3 linked regions of the Drosophila melanogaster genome follow. The protein of the gene in region 3 interacts with the protein of the main gene of each other region in a pairwise test. Each region holds a gene or a part of one and is shown on either strand. Other genes may lie near its edges.

The links.
Region 1: the proteins of CG1647 (region 3) and CG18599 interact in a two-hybrid assay, tested with the Drosophila melanogaster proteins (one large-scale study listed by BioGRID).
Region 2: the proteins of CG1647 (region 3) and CG8569 interact in a two-hybrid assay, tested with the Drosophila melanogaster proteins (one large-scale study listed by BioGRID).

What each region holds. Positions count from the first base shown.
Region 1 is NT_033777.3:18,265,369-18,271,672, reverse strand, and holds CG18599 (uncharacterized protein), read right to left. Parts: upstream 3,885-6,304; 5' UTR 3,609-3,884; intron 2,189-3,608; 5' UTR 2,117-2,188; coding exon 1,198-2,116; intron 1,081-1,197; coding exon 572-1,080; 3' UTR 501-571; downstream 1-500. Other genes in the region: Vps39 (vacuolar protein sorting 39), read left to right, coding at 1-293.
Region 2 is NT_033778.4:12,517,251-12,522,433, reverse strand, and holds CG8569 (uncharacterized protein), read right to left. Parts: upstream 3,269-5,183; 5' UTR 3,202-3,268; coding exon 3,087-3,201; intron 3,022-3,086; coding exon 1,964-3,021; intron 1,904-1,963; coding exon 1,250-1,903; 3' UTR 810-1,249; downstream 1-809. Other genes in the region: CG8818 (uncharacterized protein), read left to right, coding at 3,627-4,597, 4,660-4,793, 4,846-5,030; CG13151 (uncharacterized protein), read right to left, coding at 5,176-5,183.
Region 3 is NT_033777.3:28,818,138-28,825,365, reverse strand, and holds CG1647 (uncharacterized protein), read right to left. Parts: upstream 5,146-7,228; 5' UTR 5,029-5,145; coding exon 4,849-5,028; intron 4,795-4,848; coding exon 4,648-4,794; intron 4,579-4,647; coding exon 4,370-4,578; intron 4,308-4,369; coding exon 1,175-4,307; 3' UTR 858-1,174; downstream 1-857. Other genes in the region: CG1523 (uncharacterized protein), read left to right, coding at 5,852-6,144, 6,196-6,565, 6,692-7,228.

The sequences.
Region 1 (6,304 bases), about 11 Mb from region 3:
ATGACATGCCCATGCCCCAGCTGGAGAAATACTTGGAGAAATCTATACGTAAAATGATGGCCGACAAGCACGAGATGCAGATGATGTGCGGCTTCCTGGAGGCAGAGTCCACGCGCCTGGAGAATGCCTTGGAGGAGCAGCGAAACATTAGCTTCGAGTTAAACGAGTCTAGTGTGTGTTCCGAGTGCAAGAAGCGTTTTCAAACCCAGTCCGCCTTCGTGCGCTATCCAAATGGGCACATCGTGCACCTATCCTGCCACGATCGGCTCGCCAGGGCGGCTGCTCAGCAATAAGTGAAATACTCCAATGTGATAACTGATCAAGGTATAAAGTGCGAATTGAGTGTAAATGTCTGTATTATTCTGTTTTTAAATAAGCTTTTTCAGTACTCGTATGTAATGGATATACTGCAATGCTTATACAATATAATATAGTTTGCATTGATTGATTGTAACAATCAACTTGCAGCTAATCATCAACAATTAAAGACAAGCAGAAGTATAGAAAACCGATATTGTACATATTTATTTGACTATATTTACAGGAAACTTGCTTTGCACTGGCGTGGTTTTTAGGCCTCCTCGCTGCCGTCCATGAGGCTGTCGCCGTCCAGGGAATCGTTACAGATGGACAAATCCGACTCGGACTGCGCTCGACTCAACGGCGGTAATGCGCCCGAAAGCGACAGCGAGTGCTTGCTATCCTCGTTGTCCTCCTCCTGCAGGCTGGGCGAGGCTGCACTGCATCCGTTTGTGCGTTCCGTGGACACAGAATGGGCCGCATTGGCCGACACGGATACTTGATTGCCCAATAACGATGTACCTGGCAGTTGAGTTTGCCTTATCAATGCCAGCCGTTGTTGTGTCAGTTCCAAGTGGTGCTTGCGCCACTTGATCCGCCTATTCTGGAACCACACCTTCACCTGAGCCTCCGTTAACTTTAGGGTGTGTGCCAAGTAGAGCCGCTCCGGGCCGACCATGTACTGCTGGCGCTCGAACTCCGCCTCCAGGCACTCCAACTGCTCCGGCGTGAAGATTGTCCGGACGCGCTTGTTCTTCAGTGCGCTCTTCTTGTGAGAATCTGCCGAATCACAAAATGATGATCAAATGGAGGTATTAGATGTGCACACACTATGTTTACTTAATACCCACTTATGATCAAATCATGGGTTATTCATCGACTGAAACACCTGCTTACCCGACTTGAGTTTTTCCCGCTGAAAGCTCAGGGTGGCCTGCTGCTGAGCGTGGTGTTGCTGGTGGAGCTGCTGCAGGCTCTGCAGGGCGGAGGGAGCTGCTCCGACGGCGGCGGCAACCGCTGCAAATCCCGCCTGGTGCGGATGCGGATGCTGGTGTCCGCCGTGCAGGTAACGTCCATTACCGGCGACACTATCACAATTGAAGTTGTTTACACTCGGGCTGCTGTTGTTGTTGCCACTGTTGCTGCCGCCGTTATTGTTGTTGTTGTTGTTGTTGTTGGGGTTGCTCGTGTAGCACTTGTTGTTGTCGTCACCGATGATGTTGTTGTTGTCGTGCAGGGAGAGATTGATGGCATTGTTGTAGTCCTTGCGCTGGCTCTGCAGGCCCAAAATGGCGGCGATGGTAAAGGACTTGCCCACGTCGAGGGAGGAATGCGCCGCTGCCGCCTCGATGAGCTGCGCGTGCGACGTCGCAGTGGCTGCCGCCGCCGCCAACTGTTCCCGGTGGTTGCTGTTGCTGTTGTGGCTGCTGCTGTTGCTGCTGCTACTGCTGTTGTTGTTGTTGTTGCCGGTGGTGGGTGTCGGTGGGTGTGGGTGGTGGCCATCCTGGTGGTGGGTGTGCAGCTGCTGATGATGATGATGTTGCTGCTGCTGCTGCTGCTGCTGCAACTGATGATGCTGCTGCTGGTGCTCCATTTGGTATGAACTCTGACCCGCCGAGACAGCGACCGCCGCTGCTGCAGCCGCTGCCAGCGCTGCATGATGCGGTTGACCATGTGCATGAATGCCCCCACCCAAACCTCCAAGTCCGGCGACCGACGATCCCCCGCCGCTGCCGCCGCCACTGGCTTGTGTGTTATGCAATGCCAGGAAGTGCGACAAGGGATTTGCGTGATATTTGGAAGGATTCTGCAGCATGCTTAGGTATTTGCCACTGTCTCCGAGTTGTCGTCCGCCTTCTGCCGCTGGCCTCCGGGATTCTCGGTCGCTCTGCAAATGGGAGAAATGCCTCTGTTTAATTGTTGCTCTGCTGTGGAGCTTCTGTGGCTGCCAGGTGTCAACGACTCCCCGATTAAATCCACAATTAAGTGAAATGTGATCGCTGGCTGAAGAAGTTGCTCTACCATGAAGTGCTTGGTCAGCTCAGCTAAGTGGTGGGAGATGGAACAATGGAACTACAACTGGTTGGGACGGACCTTTTGATGACTTTCCCTACACAATGACAATTTTGGAACTGAAGTATTACTAACTTAATATAAGTAGAAACAACAGTATCTAAGGTTAACAATACCAATATTTCTAGTTTACAATCGTCTATAAACATGGTCCTATCAAATTAGATATTAAAATAAGAACAATATCTTTAATTATAAGAAGTAAATTTTCTTTTAAAGGATCTTTAATATTTTTAATCAACAGAGGAATCTGCAACTTTTGCATATAAGTTAGAATTATAACTCTATATTTCAATGTTAAAATGGATCCTTTTTGTACATTATTTCTGGCATTCATTACAAGGGTTAAAATTTTATAATATCAGCTTATGTAGAATAATTTTGAAAAGTGTATAATTTGCTTAATGCCAGCTTCTCTCGCTCGCATGCATTGTGTTTGCCCAGGTAAGCCAAACCTGAATCGTTTTGTGGCAATGTGATAGCCTAATTGAGACTTTGTCACAGTTGCTGCTTCATTGTGGCAGATGTAGTTGCTCTCCCAGGTGAAGCACCATCCCAAGTCCTCAGCACTGTTGTCGCTCATTGTTTGTGCTTTAGGCCAAATATGCGAATGTCTCAAGCTGCATTTAAGCTGATTTGACTAAATATGCGAGGCTAATGTCGTGTGCGGGCCAAATGAGCTTCATTAGGAGAATGCCATTTGGGTGTAACAAGTGGATTTCACACACATTCCGGCTGTGAATTTCTAGCTACATTAATTGTGGAGCTTAGATCCTGAGAGAAAAGCTAGTATGTTATCCTATTTTGTATCTTTCTAATCACTCATGTTCATTTATCAGTCTTTGTTCAATTTGAAAAAAATTAATAACGATAAGAAACTTGTAAAAACATATAAGCACTTTAAATCAAATTTAAGCTATCATCTGAGCTATCATAAATATGATTTTGTATTGAAAATTTTAGGTATTTATCTTATTGAAACATACAGATTTTAGCTGAATGATAAATTTTTAGAGAATCCGTTATAAAATTTTAAGCATTGAATGCATTTTAAAATATTGGGCATAATAAATTATACATTATTGCTATGTTTACAAGCTCAACGCTGGTAAATCTCAAATAATTCTTTTAATGGCATATCCAAAATCAGAAATCTTTTTTAGTAATCTTGAATTAAAAAGCCGACGGAACTCGATTTGGGCCAAAAATTCTTATAAATTGCAAAAGTTACAAACCTTCTAAACCAATGAAGTTCTAATTACATTGATTTCAATTGCAGATGTAATCAACTCAAAAGATAATCCAAGCGTGAGTTAATCAGTTTTCAGTACTTTCACTATTATTTTCACGAACACAGTTTTCAATCTGAAAAATTTGCTTTTCCGACGGCACTGCAAAAAGTGTTGCCTACAGTTCTGCGCCCAACGGCAGTAACGGAAATCGAATAGAAAATCGAGCGGAAGTTTAACTGCCGGAAACACATGCGAACGCGAACGTGTTGCAAACTGAACTGAACTAAAAGTTCGTGGCCGTAAAATTTTTACATTATCGGCAGCGAACGCCGGCAGCGAAGCTGGCAGCGCTGCTTTCTGTTTGCTGCGGTGCGCTTGTTTGTGTCTGTGTGCGGGTGAGTGATTCTTTTTGTGGGTGTGCGTGAGTTGCCGTTGTGATTTTTCTATCCGCTTTTCCTTTGGCTTTTTTTTGCTCTCAACCAGGGTTGTCAAAACTTTCACTAATAGTATTCATTAACTAGTAATTAAGTGCTTTGAACTTTGTTCGTTTTCATGAATACATTTAATTTTTTGTGCTAACGAAAACAGAATTAAATTTAAATGAAAAATTGTTTTAAATAATCTTGGTATCTTGGTTTTTGACACAATTATGTACATACCTAATTTTTTATAATTAAATTTGTTACAATTATTTGTACCTTAATTTAGTTTAAATCTATTATGTTCCTAAGCATTTGAACGATTAAAGTGTACATTTAGAAAGTCTCTCTATTATACATTCATATATATGATATTTTAAAACATATTGGTACAACACATCCGAAAGATATAGATTTATTATTTGTCTTTTAAAAGCAATATCTTCAAAACAGCAAAGCGTTAAAATCTCCTTTTTAGACTTTCGCCCATGACTTTGTTTTGCTACAGTTGACAACCCTGCACTCAGCTTAGATCAGAGCCATTGAAAGAGCCAACAAAGGAAAGAAGGAGATGAGATGTAGCTGAGGCATAAAAACATCGTCAACCGAAGCCTCATCATCATCATCGTCATCATAATCATCGTTGATAGTCATCGTCATTATTCAGGAGCATCCACCAGGCAGTTACATAAAAAGGAATCACCCACCAAAGGGAGCAATCCACCACCAGCCACCCGAGCCACCCACCTATCAGAGCAACCCTGCCCACACACCCATTGGTAAACACCCGTTTCCCTTCCGAGGGCGAGTGTATAAAAAGTTATTGAAATTATGATATAAATGGATAATTGGCTCACTGGTAGCGTCTCCCTCGCTCATGGCAAATGGGCGGTACCTAAGCAGTCGGAAAATATTGCGGGACAATATGGCGACGCTGGATTATTAATATTTTGTGAATAGGTGGAAAAGCCACTGGGGCAGGGCTATGTGGGGATAGACATAATTAATGAAGCAATAAGCTAAGAAATTACATCGTAGATACATCATAAGTATAAATATCTAAATTTGGACAGGTAAAATCGACAAAACAACGCACATTAATAATTTGTTTTAAATCTTAATTTAGTTAAATTTTCACTGTATACAACATGATATTCAATGTCGAAGTGCAATTCAGAGTCGAATTACCTTTAGATTTAGTATTTCAGTTTACGACTTATCAGTAAATAAACTTTGTCAATTTCATTTTATGGTCCTTTTTGGCCGATGTTAGTAGTATTAAGTCTTGGAAACGTTTTTGGCCCAAATCCCCAAACTAAGTTGGCAATACGAACTATCTACAGCCGCAGGTCAACCCCAAACCCAACCCCAATTAGCCGTCCCCTTGGCTCCACCCTTTTGCCTGCCAAACGGGTGTTCAATTTACCGTTTGATAAACTACCCGGAATGCCAACGATCATTACGAGCCAGCGAAACTGGCGGAAACGGAAATGGAAAGACGAAGGAGGCCCCAATTAGCGGCCCATCAAAGTAAATCAATGCAAGAGCACGTGGAGCGGGCAGACAAGGAAAATGCCAAAAAAGAACAAAGCAAATGGCGAGTTTACACACAAAAAAATAAAACAAATGTAATCCGTTAGCTTTGAAGAAACTTTAAATGTATGTACATAAAATATAGTAAAAGTAGTAGATGATTTTTCACTGCAAGAATTTGCTTGCTATGCAGTTGCAATCGTCATAACATTTAAAACGATTTAATTTGGGTAAATCGACCAAGCTTACGGTATTTAAAGAAAATAAAAACCAAATTGTTACAAATTGCCTTGTTCCCTCAATGTCCAACTTTCGTCTCATCTTTCAAAAAACCAAAGAGGGACAAATTCTAAAATCACAGCCAGGAATTTGCAGCCAAAAAAGGGCAAACGGAGAGGTGGAATTGGGAACTGGAGCTTGGCAACGAGCTGGGGATGGAGAGGATCCTTTCGGGTGCTTCGGCGTCACGTTTGTCGTTTCAATCATCATTAGTGCTAATGTACCCACAAGAATTGGCCAGCCACTTGGCGCCGACGCTGACGTCGACGCAGGCGTCGGCATTTAGCAATGGCGGCCGCAGCAGAGCGAAAGAGAGTGGTGCCAGAAGAAGAGAGAGAGAGAGTGAGCGGAAAATCAGTTTTAACTAACAGAATACACATATGCTTACATACATATATAAATACTTTTTATATACCCACATATTTTATTTTCCATTTATTTACCACAATTTTAATATTTTTTCGAGGT
Region 2 (5,183 bases), on a different chromosome or scaffold from region 3:
AAATCTGCACCCGTCAAGAGTCATATTGTAGAGAAAAGGCTTATAGCCATTCAAACGTTTATAGAGACCAAATTGCACCTGAATTAAAAAACAGTAACTTATTATAATCGCTTAGGTATAAATATAAGTTTACTAAATTATACCTTAATTTTGGTTACGGGTATCTTTAGTAGTTTAACTTTGAGGGAAACATATTTGTAAGATCGGTTCACAGATTAAAGATAGCAATATTCAAATAGGGAAAAGTCCTTATCCAAGGTCTCGCACTGTACGTTTGTAAATTCCACTAGGGAATAAACCTAAAAGAAGCTTTTAAAATATGACATTTCAGTTATAATAATTCGTTACCTCTGTGAGATAATAAATACAAATCAACTGAAAAGCGACGCACAATTTCAGCTTGATTGCCATTATTTCCTTTTAGTTATACACAGTACAAAGGCCTTCGATTCTTTTTAAAATAATAATACTTTTGACTTGCTTTCTTGTTTCCTTTTTAAGGTATAAACTTAACTATTCACTTTAGTGATTCGCTTATTTGGTATATGTTTCTTGCGCACTTTTTTAAATAGATAAATTGGGAACCTTTTTTATAAGTATGGCTGTGCAAGACGACTGCGGGAAAACAGATCTTGCTCATGGTTTAAATATTGATAAATCGAATAAAACCATTTAAAATTAGAGCAGTTAAAAACCATGAATTTAATGAGATACTATTCAAAATCGATTGGTTTTATCGAGAAAGAAACTGTCATTAAAGTTTTCCATGTGTTTCAATTGTAATTATTTAAGTATGCCACGAAAATATTGTGGATGAACAATAATTTGTGTTTATTATTATGAATACAGCTGGCACGAAATAATACCCATTCTTATAAAATATGTATATATTTTTTGGTAGGAAACAAGTTTTTATATTGTTAGTAACAAGTACAAGTAAGTTCCACGCCCACACTTTTAAAGTATTGTACGTTTTTTCTGATTTTTTATAAACGTAATATGAATATGGATTAATATGATCAGGTGGCGACACCTAGCGGAAACAGTGCTGCCCATCATAAGAACGGAAAAGGCGCCATTTTCAAATATCTCATTGATAATATTTTTCATTAATACAAGTTTAACATTCTTTATCTTCTGAAAATATTGATGCATATCTTAAGAACGGATACATTTGATACAAAAGGATGGTAACAAACGAGATGTTATCACTTTGGACATAGTTTCCAATTTCGTCTGTAGTCCTAATTTAATGAGTAACTTTGCAGGATGCTTGGTGGCGTCTCTTATCACGTCGCTGGCATTCAACGCTGCAGTAGGACGCAGTAAAGCAGCAGTTAAAAACGGCCTCATCCAGGCAATGGTAGCACCATTGCTTCCTTTTCACTTCGGCCAGCTTCCTTTGCGTGGCCGAGAGCTCTCTTCGGCAATTTAGCAGATCGTTATGCGCCTGCAGTATTTCGGCGGTTAGACTATCATATGCTACGGAGTCAGGAATCCCACGAATGGGCACCGGCGATGAGGTATTCGAAGTGGTGTTATTAAGCCGTCGATTCTTTGCAGCGCCGGGAGTGGCTGGAGTCGGCGGGCGTCCTCGTTTGCCGGACGCACTCGTTTCCGTTGACTCCGTGCAGTGGGATAGAGCCACCTTAATGAGATTCTCGGCAACGGTGGGATCTGCATGGAAGCCGAATAGCGAGGCGGAATAGTGGGACAACATCATGTGACACTGCAGTTCTTTTATCGCAGCGCTCAGAGCTCGGGAGTTCCGTGGTTTGATATGCGACTGAATGTCCGACTCGATGGGTGTAATATCACGTTCTGAGATGAGGGCCCGGGAATGAGTGCCACCGAAGAAGCGGACGTCGTACTTGATGGGCTGACGCTTGGAGACGCTCATCACCTGGTAAAGAAATTATATTTATGTGTATATATTACATAGTAATGATAATATCGTACGTACCTTTGCAGGCCACGGTGGTGAGCCCACCTGCTTGGCAAATACCAACTCGTGCCGCTGAAGACATGGCTTGGCGAACCAGAGATCCGACAGGCTGGCCTCGTTGGAATACCTATAGCAGTCGGGGCAACGACGGATTTCGCGAATGTCGTGCGTCACATCTCTCATCAGCCACTTGGTGGCATTGTACTCAACGCTCTTTTGCCCAAAGAACACGGCCATGTTGTGCTGCAGATCGAGCAGATCCATTAGGAATTCTGTTAGGTACGTATACTTCGCCGCCGCTATGTTGCGCTCGATGTCGCCCAGACCCAAAATCTTTGTCTTGAAGAGTAGCCGCTTAACCAGCGCCTTGTCGCGTTCGTTCCAATGCTTGGCCATGTACTTGGCCACATCCATGGAGATCCAGGAGTGATGCTGGTCCCAGGAGTACTTCAATAGGCAGCCCAGCTCTTGCTTGTCGAGTTGCGGTGGGTTGTGGAGAGCGGCCAGGGCGAGCAAACGGCAGTGGGTGCAGCGCTCCAGATCGCTTCCCTCATCGCTATCCAAACTGCTTTGTAGTTCGTCCTTGATCCTGGGCAGCTTTCGCTGGCGCGCGCCCTTTTGTTCGCACACAAAGAAGACGTCGTCGTCCCACTCGATGTTCTCGTGCTTCAGGAAATCCGTAGTGGCTAGCAAAGTCTGATTGATGTTGCTATTATGATCGAGCAGGGGCGTTGGCGTTTGGGGAGTCTCCAAGTTCTGAGTGTTATTCAGGGGCTGATTGTCCAATTCGTTGACGGGAAACTGGTAAGGTTGGCCCTTGTCCGAGGGCACTGAATAATTGGGCTTCTCCGGGTCCTGTCGCTGGCAATTCTCGTGGAAGGAGCGATGGCAGGATATGCATTTCTTAACGGCTCCGGGCAAATGGCACTCGAAGCAGAACGGATCAATTGGTGAGCTGGGCAGCCGGCTTACTTTTTGACAAAAGGCGAGGGCCAGACGCTTGGACCGTCCGCCGCCTGCTCTGGCCACCAGTATGCCTCGCTCCGTGGCATTTTTCACCGATAAACTGGCTGCTTCTGAAGTTGGATTTTTAGATGTTTGAGACAAACGTTATGGATTGGACATTCAATGGTTCACTTACCTGCACTCATTAAATTGAGCAGGGAACGCTCTAGGACTGTCGCCGGCTGCCCAACGCCCTTTTTCAGCTTGTCCATCCAAATACGGATGGCTGAAGGTGGAATATCGCTGGCCATTTCATTTGCGTTTTAAAGTTTTCTTGCAAATGAAATCAATTTTTGGCTAACTGGAAGCGTTGCCGGACTGCTGGATTGGGTGAACTCGCGTTGCCAACTATAGGCAACAGGAGCTGCCACGTAGGGGTAACTTTAAATTTACATACAAATTTATGGATTTTTAAATGACTCTACTTAAAAGTAAGTTTGTAATTATATGCAGCATTCCATTTTTAAACATTTGTGAAACAAAGTATCTGAGTTTATTTCAGTAACAACTTGCTATGATTCGTAATAATGGTATTCCTCGATGGCATTTTCACACGGATCAGCGACGGTAACACTGTTGAAAACAAAAAATATACACAACTTATACAATCCGAGACAAAAACGGGGCAAAGGAGGCGTGTCTAGAAGAGCGGAGGACGCGGAGGTGACCCCAAGTCATGGCCATGCTGACGCGATTGACCAGCAGCGGCACCACCACGGTGGCCGGAGCACCCGGTTCACCCAAGGGCCTGCAGCGTTTCCAAAACTACATCTCGGCCTTCTTGTGGCCGGGAACGCAGCGGCAACGTCGGAAGTCCACACATCTCGATCCCATGGACTGTTTCACCAACGACTTGGTGACCAGAAAGACCCAAAAGTGGGAGGAGCTGCGCGATAGCCTGATAAAGAGGCCATCGTCCGGAAATCTGGAGGCGGACGCCAATTGCAATGTGGGAACGCAGCGAAAGGCTGGTAGTACCAGCTTTAGCCAGAACGTGGGTCTTATGTCCAAGGGCATGATGAGTGATCTGAAGGCGCTGCGCTCCCCCCAACTGGGACTGGATATCAGATCCCTGTCGCAGGCGCAGCTGGACAACCTGCTGATGGCCACGTTGGAGATCAAGAACAAGCTGGACTTTCTCTACCTGATACGTCAGTGCATCCGCTGCAACCTGTTGCCCTCCAACGAGGTCTTCGTGTCCTGTCTAAAGTATTTGAGCGCGCAGCGCAAGCTCCAGCAGTTGGAGGCACTGGCGGAGACCTGTCGGCAGCTGGAGCACCCGTTCTCACAGACCTACGCGGATCTGGCGCCCTTCCGCGCCATCGCCCTGTGGAACAATGGTAACGCCGACGTGGCCCTGATGACGCTACATCGCGGTTACGGGGTAAGCATGACTTCGGAGGAGGGCAGGCGGATGGCGCGCTCCGCATTCCGCACCATTTCCGAGGAGACTCTGGCCCAGAAGAGTGAGGCGGTGCTAGTGTCGCTGCTGGAGGTAGCGCGTGCCATTCACCGCGAGCACAAGGACATCTTTGTGGTGGCCTGTGTGTGGAAGCAATGCTTCGCTAGCGATTGGTTTTGCGATCAAAAATCGGCTTCGGAACTGTTTGAGCACTACAAGGAGCTGCAAGAGCTAGTGGAGAGGAGGTAAGTCGCTTTAATTTCTTTAAAAACCCGAAATTTGAATCCCAATGTAACCTTCCTTGCAGAGCCAGTTCTTTGTGCTCTTCATTTCTGGCCCGTAACAATGTTGATGCGGTGCATCGGCTAATCGAGGCGTTCTTGCAGCACCAGCAGCGTTTGGCCTGCTCCAGCTGCCTCAGCTTGCTCTTTAACTATCAATGTGAGTCTGTGCAACACAACCGAATATTATGTAACTCCCGTTTCGTTTTTAGATATGCGCAAGGATCTGCGAGCCTGCGCTGAGATTGTCAAATCCTGCAGTGAATTAGAGATGCCGCTAAATGAGCTGCAGAACGAACAGTTCCTCAGTCTGTTCCTCGACCAGAGCGATCCTGTGGACTCTTCGGGAATGGCCAGCAAGTACAAGGCACCCAAGTCCTTCCAGTACAAGTTCTAGTCCCCAGTTTCCATCGTTAAGCCGTTGTCATCGTAGTTACAGCACAAGTGTTTGCACCATTGAGCAATATTGCAAGCATCCCCATATTGCAAGCCCCCACAAGGAATGTAGTGTCTCTTCAATAAATGTTATTTAATATCCATCTTCAGGTGG
Region 3 (7,228 bases):
TTGGTTTATCGTTAGATAAATCCCTGTAAATACTGTTAGTGAATTTTCATACCTCTTTAATTTAATTGTACGCGCTTAACAAAAACAAAATCTACTAAAGGATAATCACAAATTGAGAAATTTTATCAGCAATTACCCGTTTTCGTTTGTTCCAAATCACATTTGCATATCCATAAAGCTGCTCAATTAAATATGAATAATACACACCGAGTGTTTCTTCAATATGTGGGTGAGTTTTGCAAACCCCGTTCAGACTACTGTGCCAAAAACTTGAGAACACCAAAATATAAGAGGAGTTTGTGAAAAATTAGAGATTCACCTTTAAGCGAACTGAAAAACTGTAAACTGAGCGATAGAAATTTATTATAGTGAATATATTTTATAAATCTACAACAAAGGGAAGGATCAAACGAAAAGAAATCTGTGACTGCTATTAATAAAGCCACAGCTGAGAATTATTCAAATACAATATTTAAACTAATAGATTTGCCCGCAATTAACCATAAACTAAATTTACAAGTTTGCTCAGTAATAATTCACTACTTGTTGAAATAATTATTAACAAATGTAATGTAAGTGTGGCTAAGTCCAATAGGCATGTATTCAAATTATGTTGACCACAAGGCTTCCTCGGGCACCCATGGGTCCGCTAAAGCTGTCTATTCATTCAGTTACACCCAATCGATTGATGACCTAGTAACGCATAAGTATTTTCTTTTAGTTCGAGCGCATTTAATGCAAACTTGTAGTCATTTTTCTTCTGTGTGTTTGTATTTAAACCACGATTACGTATATGTATGTTGTCGTGACATTTTTGAAACTAATAAACCCAATAAGCTTGTCAGAGCGAGAAATTTATGTGGATCAGATTTTTGATTAATGTGTGTACGCATGTCTAAAGAGTTTTGTGCGATGTATGTATTTAAATACATTATACTTACATATGCTAACATATAAGCCATTAATTTATGTAATAAAGTTGTGTATATCTAACTTAAAAATAATGCTATCCGAAAGAAGTTTATTCTCAATTCGTGGTAGCTCCAATTCTACTCGTATCCAATTACAAAAGCACAATTCACCATTCCGTACATATTTACAGCTCCTAATAGAATGAGGAGGGCATGCTAGTGTAAATTGGATATATGGCTAAGGCCAATCAGTTATCCGAAGTCTATGGATTTACGTTTTCCTGAGCCCCGAGCGCATCGTCTTGCAATTCACGCTCAATGTTGGCGTTGTTATTGTTCTCGGCGATTTCGTTGATATTGGAGTCGTCGTTGGCCTGGAAACGAGGTGGACGTTCCTCCCCCTGCTCCAGATCCTGCTGCTGCTCGTTAATACGGTTCTCAGTCTCCTCGATCGGCCTAGACGAGAGTCCTGGTGGTATTACCTCCAGCAAAGCCGGCTGCTCCTCGTGAACTAGTAGCTGTCTGTGTTCCATTATAGCCAGTTGCTGCTCCGAGAGCTCATGATTAAGCACATTTTGCTGCTCCTCGTCGGATGTGTAATTACTATCTATGATAGCTGCATCGCAAGGTGGCAAAGCAAGCGCTTCAGTATCTTTTGGAGCATCAAGCGACACTGTTGCTAAACAATATGCACTCCCTGCTGCCATTTCTGGTTTGTCCAGAGATTCCGATTCATCGTGTTGCGGTGGTGAATTACCTGGGGAGGGGTTTTCAGGTATAGGCGAAACACAGCTTCCACTTGGGAGGGATTCGTTTTGCTCTAAGACAACAGAAGGATTTTCTGTTCCCGCGGATTGACAGTCGACCTGAGCACGTGATTCCAGATAGGAGGCATCGTTTTCTATTGAATTATCCTCAGTTTCGCTATGGACATGAATCGGCAAAGATTCTGTGTTAAAGGTTTGGATCTGTGAAGCTGCGGGAGGGAGATCTTTAGTATCTGCTTGGGATTCGGACGAAGCTGCAGGCTGAGAGACAATGCAAGGATCGGGCTGGGATTGTGCGGCAATGGCAACTTGTGCAGAAGTTTGGAGGTCGTTTGCAGGAGACTGGACATTTTCCACTGTGTGGGAATGAGGTTCATTTGTAGTGCTGGGGCTTGGGCCTATTGAACATTCTATATCATTTGAGCATGCTGCAGATGGTTGCGGTACAGCTTGACTGCATATGTTGGTTATGACCAAACTAAAAGCAGAAGCTTCTGATTTTTCCACACCTAGCACGTCCCGAGTTTGCGAAGGAGTTTCACTGGCAGGCAATGCAGTGGATACCTCTGTATCCATTCTTTCCGATTCCAAATCTTTCCTAGATGACTCGTTTTGAAGTTCTAATGGTGGCAACTCTATTTCACGATATATGCGCTCTTCCGTGTCCCGCTCCATGGCTTCCTCAGCTTCATCGGCTGATGATGCACTGTCTTCATTTCCATCGTCATCGTCCTCATCACTCTTCTCCAATCCGTTTCTGTGCACGGCGTCTATCTCGCATATGTCCAACTCTCTTTCCTGTTTCACTGATACATCACTTAGATCTAAACTGCCTATGTATTCTTTCTCTTCTTCCATCATGTCATTATGATTAATCTCTTCTGTAGTTTCTCGTTGATCTTCTGGTTCTTCGTCTCCATATCCGAGATTTCTCGGTTCCGGCTTGATGGAAATCATGTTAAACGCCGACTCGCCGCTCACAACGGCAACAATCTGCGGCAAAGTGTTCGTCCTGGGTGGGCTATACGTTTTCCGTTCTGCACCTCCCGTACTTTTGCGCGCTGTGGACTTTACGGACTTCACCTTGTGCAGGGAGTCCTCGGGACAGGCTTCTTCAGCTCGTTCTAATGCCATTGCTTCTTCTGCCATATCCACGCCACTGGTCACATTAGAGATCTGCATCATACGATCAAGCTCCATGCGATTTGGCTTAACATCTTCCTGACTCTGAATCATGGCCTCATCGACTTCCTCACTTCGTTCGCTTTCGTTTAAGCTGCTTTCAAACTGAGTCATGGGAATAGTGGTCATGACAGTGGCCTCAGGAGCATAATCGACGGGTTCCTGTTTGATTTTAATGGCAGGTTGATTCTGAGATTCTGTTCGACAGTTTTCAGTCTCGTTCGACGCTTCCTTCTCCCGTTCCTTATGCTTTCTTTTCTTTTTCTTTTTGCTGCTTCTGCCAAACGCCTGTCCAGCTTCATCCAGATCGTCTATGAGAGAAGAGTTCAGCTTTCCATGGTTCTTCGTTATTTTAAGTTTTAGCTTCAGAGGCTCTTGCTTCACTCCCGTTTGCTTTTCATAGCCGTCATACTCGGGTTCCTGTTTAACAGATACACTGGGAATATCGTCACAGGCAGCAACAGAGATTTTATCGGATTCTGTTTCCGGTTGACATTCCTGACATTCGTCGTTAGCTGCCTGAATATCATCACCAAAACTTGGATGTTCTTCATTCCGTTCCGGCTCGGGATCACTCTCGGCTTGACCTCTAGGTGGCCCCGTGTCATTTATGTGCACTTCTGGCTCATGCTTAATGCTGACCAGAGTGTTAATCGTATTCTTCAGCAGCTGATCCACTCGTTTCAAATAATTCCTGGCAGAAACCCTATCGCTATTTTTGCTTTTGGCAGCAACCAGTTGATCGGTTCCAGACGAAGACCGCAGAAGTGGCGATGACAGGCGTTCCAGAACTACTACCGGTTGCATACCCTCGTCTATGACGAAATCCGGCGGCACTGTTGTGGCCGGCGGAAGACCTAGCAATTCCTCCTCGATCTCGTTCTTGATTAACATCTGCGCCTCATTGGTCACCACCTGGGGCATGATGTGCTTCGAGTGGTTGAGGTAAATCTTTGGGCAGGTTGGCGCATGACGCATATAGGCCGCTTCGGTGTTCAAGGTGCGACTGCAACCGCCGCACTTGCGTTTACGGATGGCACAGCGGTGAGTGTTGTAGAAGAAGTTCGTGACGAAAGTCTTCTTGCACAGCGGACACTCCCGATCCAGGACGAGCAGTTGGACGGGAGTGGGTGGTGTGTGTTCGCGCAAATGGCGCGTAAAAGCATACGCATTGGCTACGCTAGACTCGCACAGGGGACACTTGTAGGGAGTCTTGGAGAGCTTATGCCACAGCTGGTGGGCGCGTATGTCGCTCTGGTTGTGGTGCGTCTGGTTGCAGGCATTACATATGTATCGCGGTATCGATGGCACATGCACCAGGCTTTTATGCTCGTCGGCCAGCTCCTTGCTAAGGAACTTCTCGCCGCAAACGCTGCAAATAGACTTGCGACCGGCCTTTTTCGGTGGTCCCTTAAGACTGGTGTCCTGTTCAGCGGGCTCGTCTTTGCTGGGATAATAAAAATGGGAATTATTTACAAATAGAACAAGAGGAATGTATGTTATAGTTACATCTCCGGCTCTCTTTTGGACACTAAAGATGTTATCTGTGATGGCTGTAGTTTTTGCTTTTTGTGCCACACAAAGGACTCCTTTTTTACCTGTGGCTTGACATTGTTATTTTTTGGCCAGGATTCCTCGCCCTTGCGCTTCCTTCCCCGTTTTCCAACTGCACCAGATATTGGCCGTTCCTCCTTAACGATGCGCTTAAGATCAATTAACTGTGAGGCGTAAATAATACATTAGTTCGTATAATTATAAATTATAATATAGTTATTCGTTTTTCTCACTCTTGCGGGCTCTATTTGCTTCAATCCCAATAGATTTCGAGTCTGTTTATTCGTCGCATAGCACATTTCCCGAAACTCATAAAAATCATTGATTTTATCCACGCACTGGCTGCAAATTGTCTGCGGCATTTTGTCGTCCACGGACACCTGCAAAGGGCGTTGGTTAACTTGGCTATGAACATTTTTAAGAAAAACACCCACAGTGAAGCCCACCAGCTCGTAGATCTTCTGGGACATCCTAGGCTCGTCCAGGTCGATGGTGTCTTCTTCATTTGGCAAAAGTATTGGCACTTTTCCTGGATTATCGATGCCGCACAGACGACAGATCGTGCACAGATTCGCCTTGAGGGCAGCGTCGATCTTAAAAGCAAACCGATCCATTTCGGCCGGATCTTAAAATTTGTCTCGAAAGGCTTTATTCACCGGTAATTTAGCATGATTAAAGGTTTTATCTCCAGTTGAACTTGCATTTTGTTTATTCCAATACGCTTAGTGTTGGTCAGCGGCTAACAAGGTTGGTAGAAATCGATGTGCTATCGATAGGATCGAATTTTTTGCTTATCTCAAAATTAGCAAATTTGATTTTAAGTATAATTTTTGAAACTCGTTAAAAAAAATATTTAGCCAATAAAATCACATTATTGGCTATTTCTTATCACTAAATATAAAAAATTTGTCAAAAATTTTTATAAATAAATAATGTTATATAGTTGCAGAATAAATACTGAAACAAATTGTACGTCTTTACTAAAAAGATGTTTGTTTACTATTTTTACAAGTGGTGTTAAAAGCACTTCGTTTTCAGGGCTACACTATGAAATTGTATCATCGTAATTTCAGAATATATTGAATTGCAATAAGTGCTTTGGATGAAAAATACTTCAAGTTAATCATCGTACGGCGAAGCAAAAAGAATCGATTCCATTAATTTACAGAGTATTGTGCCAAAAAAGGATATTTTAAGTCCAGATGATTATCTACCATTGATGAATCTACCATTGTTCAACTTTCTTAATTCTTGATTGTTCAGTTGTAAAAAGAAATCGGTTACAAGCAGCACGGCGTTGCACCCCTGGTTTCAGAATAAACACAAGAAAGGCCACGGGGAAATTGCATCGCGGTGCCTGTGAAATCGCGAGAAGGCACACACCCATACACTCCTCTAGGTTTTCCGATCCACTTAAGAGATCCCAGAGCCCACACGATGGAGCGGTACTTGAGCCGCCGCGAAAGTGGCTTCCACATCCACCGGAGCGACGACAACTCCCTGATGCGGCGGATTTACAGCTCGATGAACATGTTTAATAGCTACCACGCCAACTGCTGGCCCACGGATGCGGGACGCACTGGGGCCATCTTCAACCTGGAGTTCAATGCCGATGGGAACGTTGTCGTGGCCGCCACGGAGAGGAAGTGCGTCCTCGTCTTCGATGCCATCACACAGAAGGAGATCTTTAAGGTACCGGACGCCCACACAGATAGTGTCAATTGCATCAAGTAAGTGTAGAAGTTGCCTTCGAGGAGGTTCGTTGCTAATCCTCGCTCCAGATTTTTTGACGAGCGCCTCTTCGCCACTGGTTCAGATGACTTTACTGTGGCACTGTGGGACCTGCGGAACATGAAGCAGAAGTTGCGCGTCCTCCACGGCCACTCCAACTGGGTGAAGAACATCGAGTACTCCTCCAAGGACAAGTTGCTCGTAAGCTCCGGCTTCGATGGCAGCATCTTCACTTGGGACATCAATTCGCAGACTGAACAGGGCCTTATCTCGCAGCGCGTATTTCATGCCAGTGGACTGATGCGCTGCAGGATTTCGCCCACGGGCGATAAGCTGGTTCTCTGCACAAGCGGTGGATACATTATGATTATCCATCACCTTGACCTCACCACGCTCCACAAAGATCTGTGCGGATTCAGGGTAAGAAAGTTTGTAAATATCGCTGTGATTTTCAGTTTGGTTCAAGATTTTAAGTTTCGTCCAGATATATGAAATGGTTACATATGTAGATAGATGGTCAACTAATAAGCCCGTTTGATTTTCCAGCCCGGTATCTACCGACTTATGCAGTTGGGCGAACAGTATATCCCGCAGGCCGCAAAGTACGATCATGTGTTCTCCAAGCGTCAAAAGAAGAACCGCGTGGAGCTGGTCACCGACTTTCCGGAGAACAACGACGCCGAGATGATCATGGCATTGCAGATTCACCCGCACTGTTGCTGCATGCTGACGAGGAACGTCAGCTGCGACGAGCAGAGCGAGTGGACCTGCATCCACGACATCAACGAGGAGCCGGTGCGCAGCGAGGATGAGCAGGACGAGGTGGAGCCACAGCCCAAGAGAAAGCGAGTGTCCACCACACTAGCCAGCCGCAGCTCGTTGAATGAATCCCAGGACCAGGATACGGTTGGCCTTACTCCCAGACAGGCACGGAGACCGTTGCGGGTCAGCAGTGTACAAGTATTCCAACTGGATAACTCTGGAGCAGGGCGTGGCGCCTCTGACAACCCTTCAGTCTTGACACGCTCGGATTCCTTCATACCGGACATCTGGGCGGCGGAGGTCACAGTCCAGGAGCGGGCC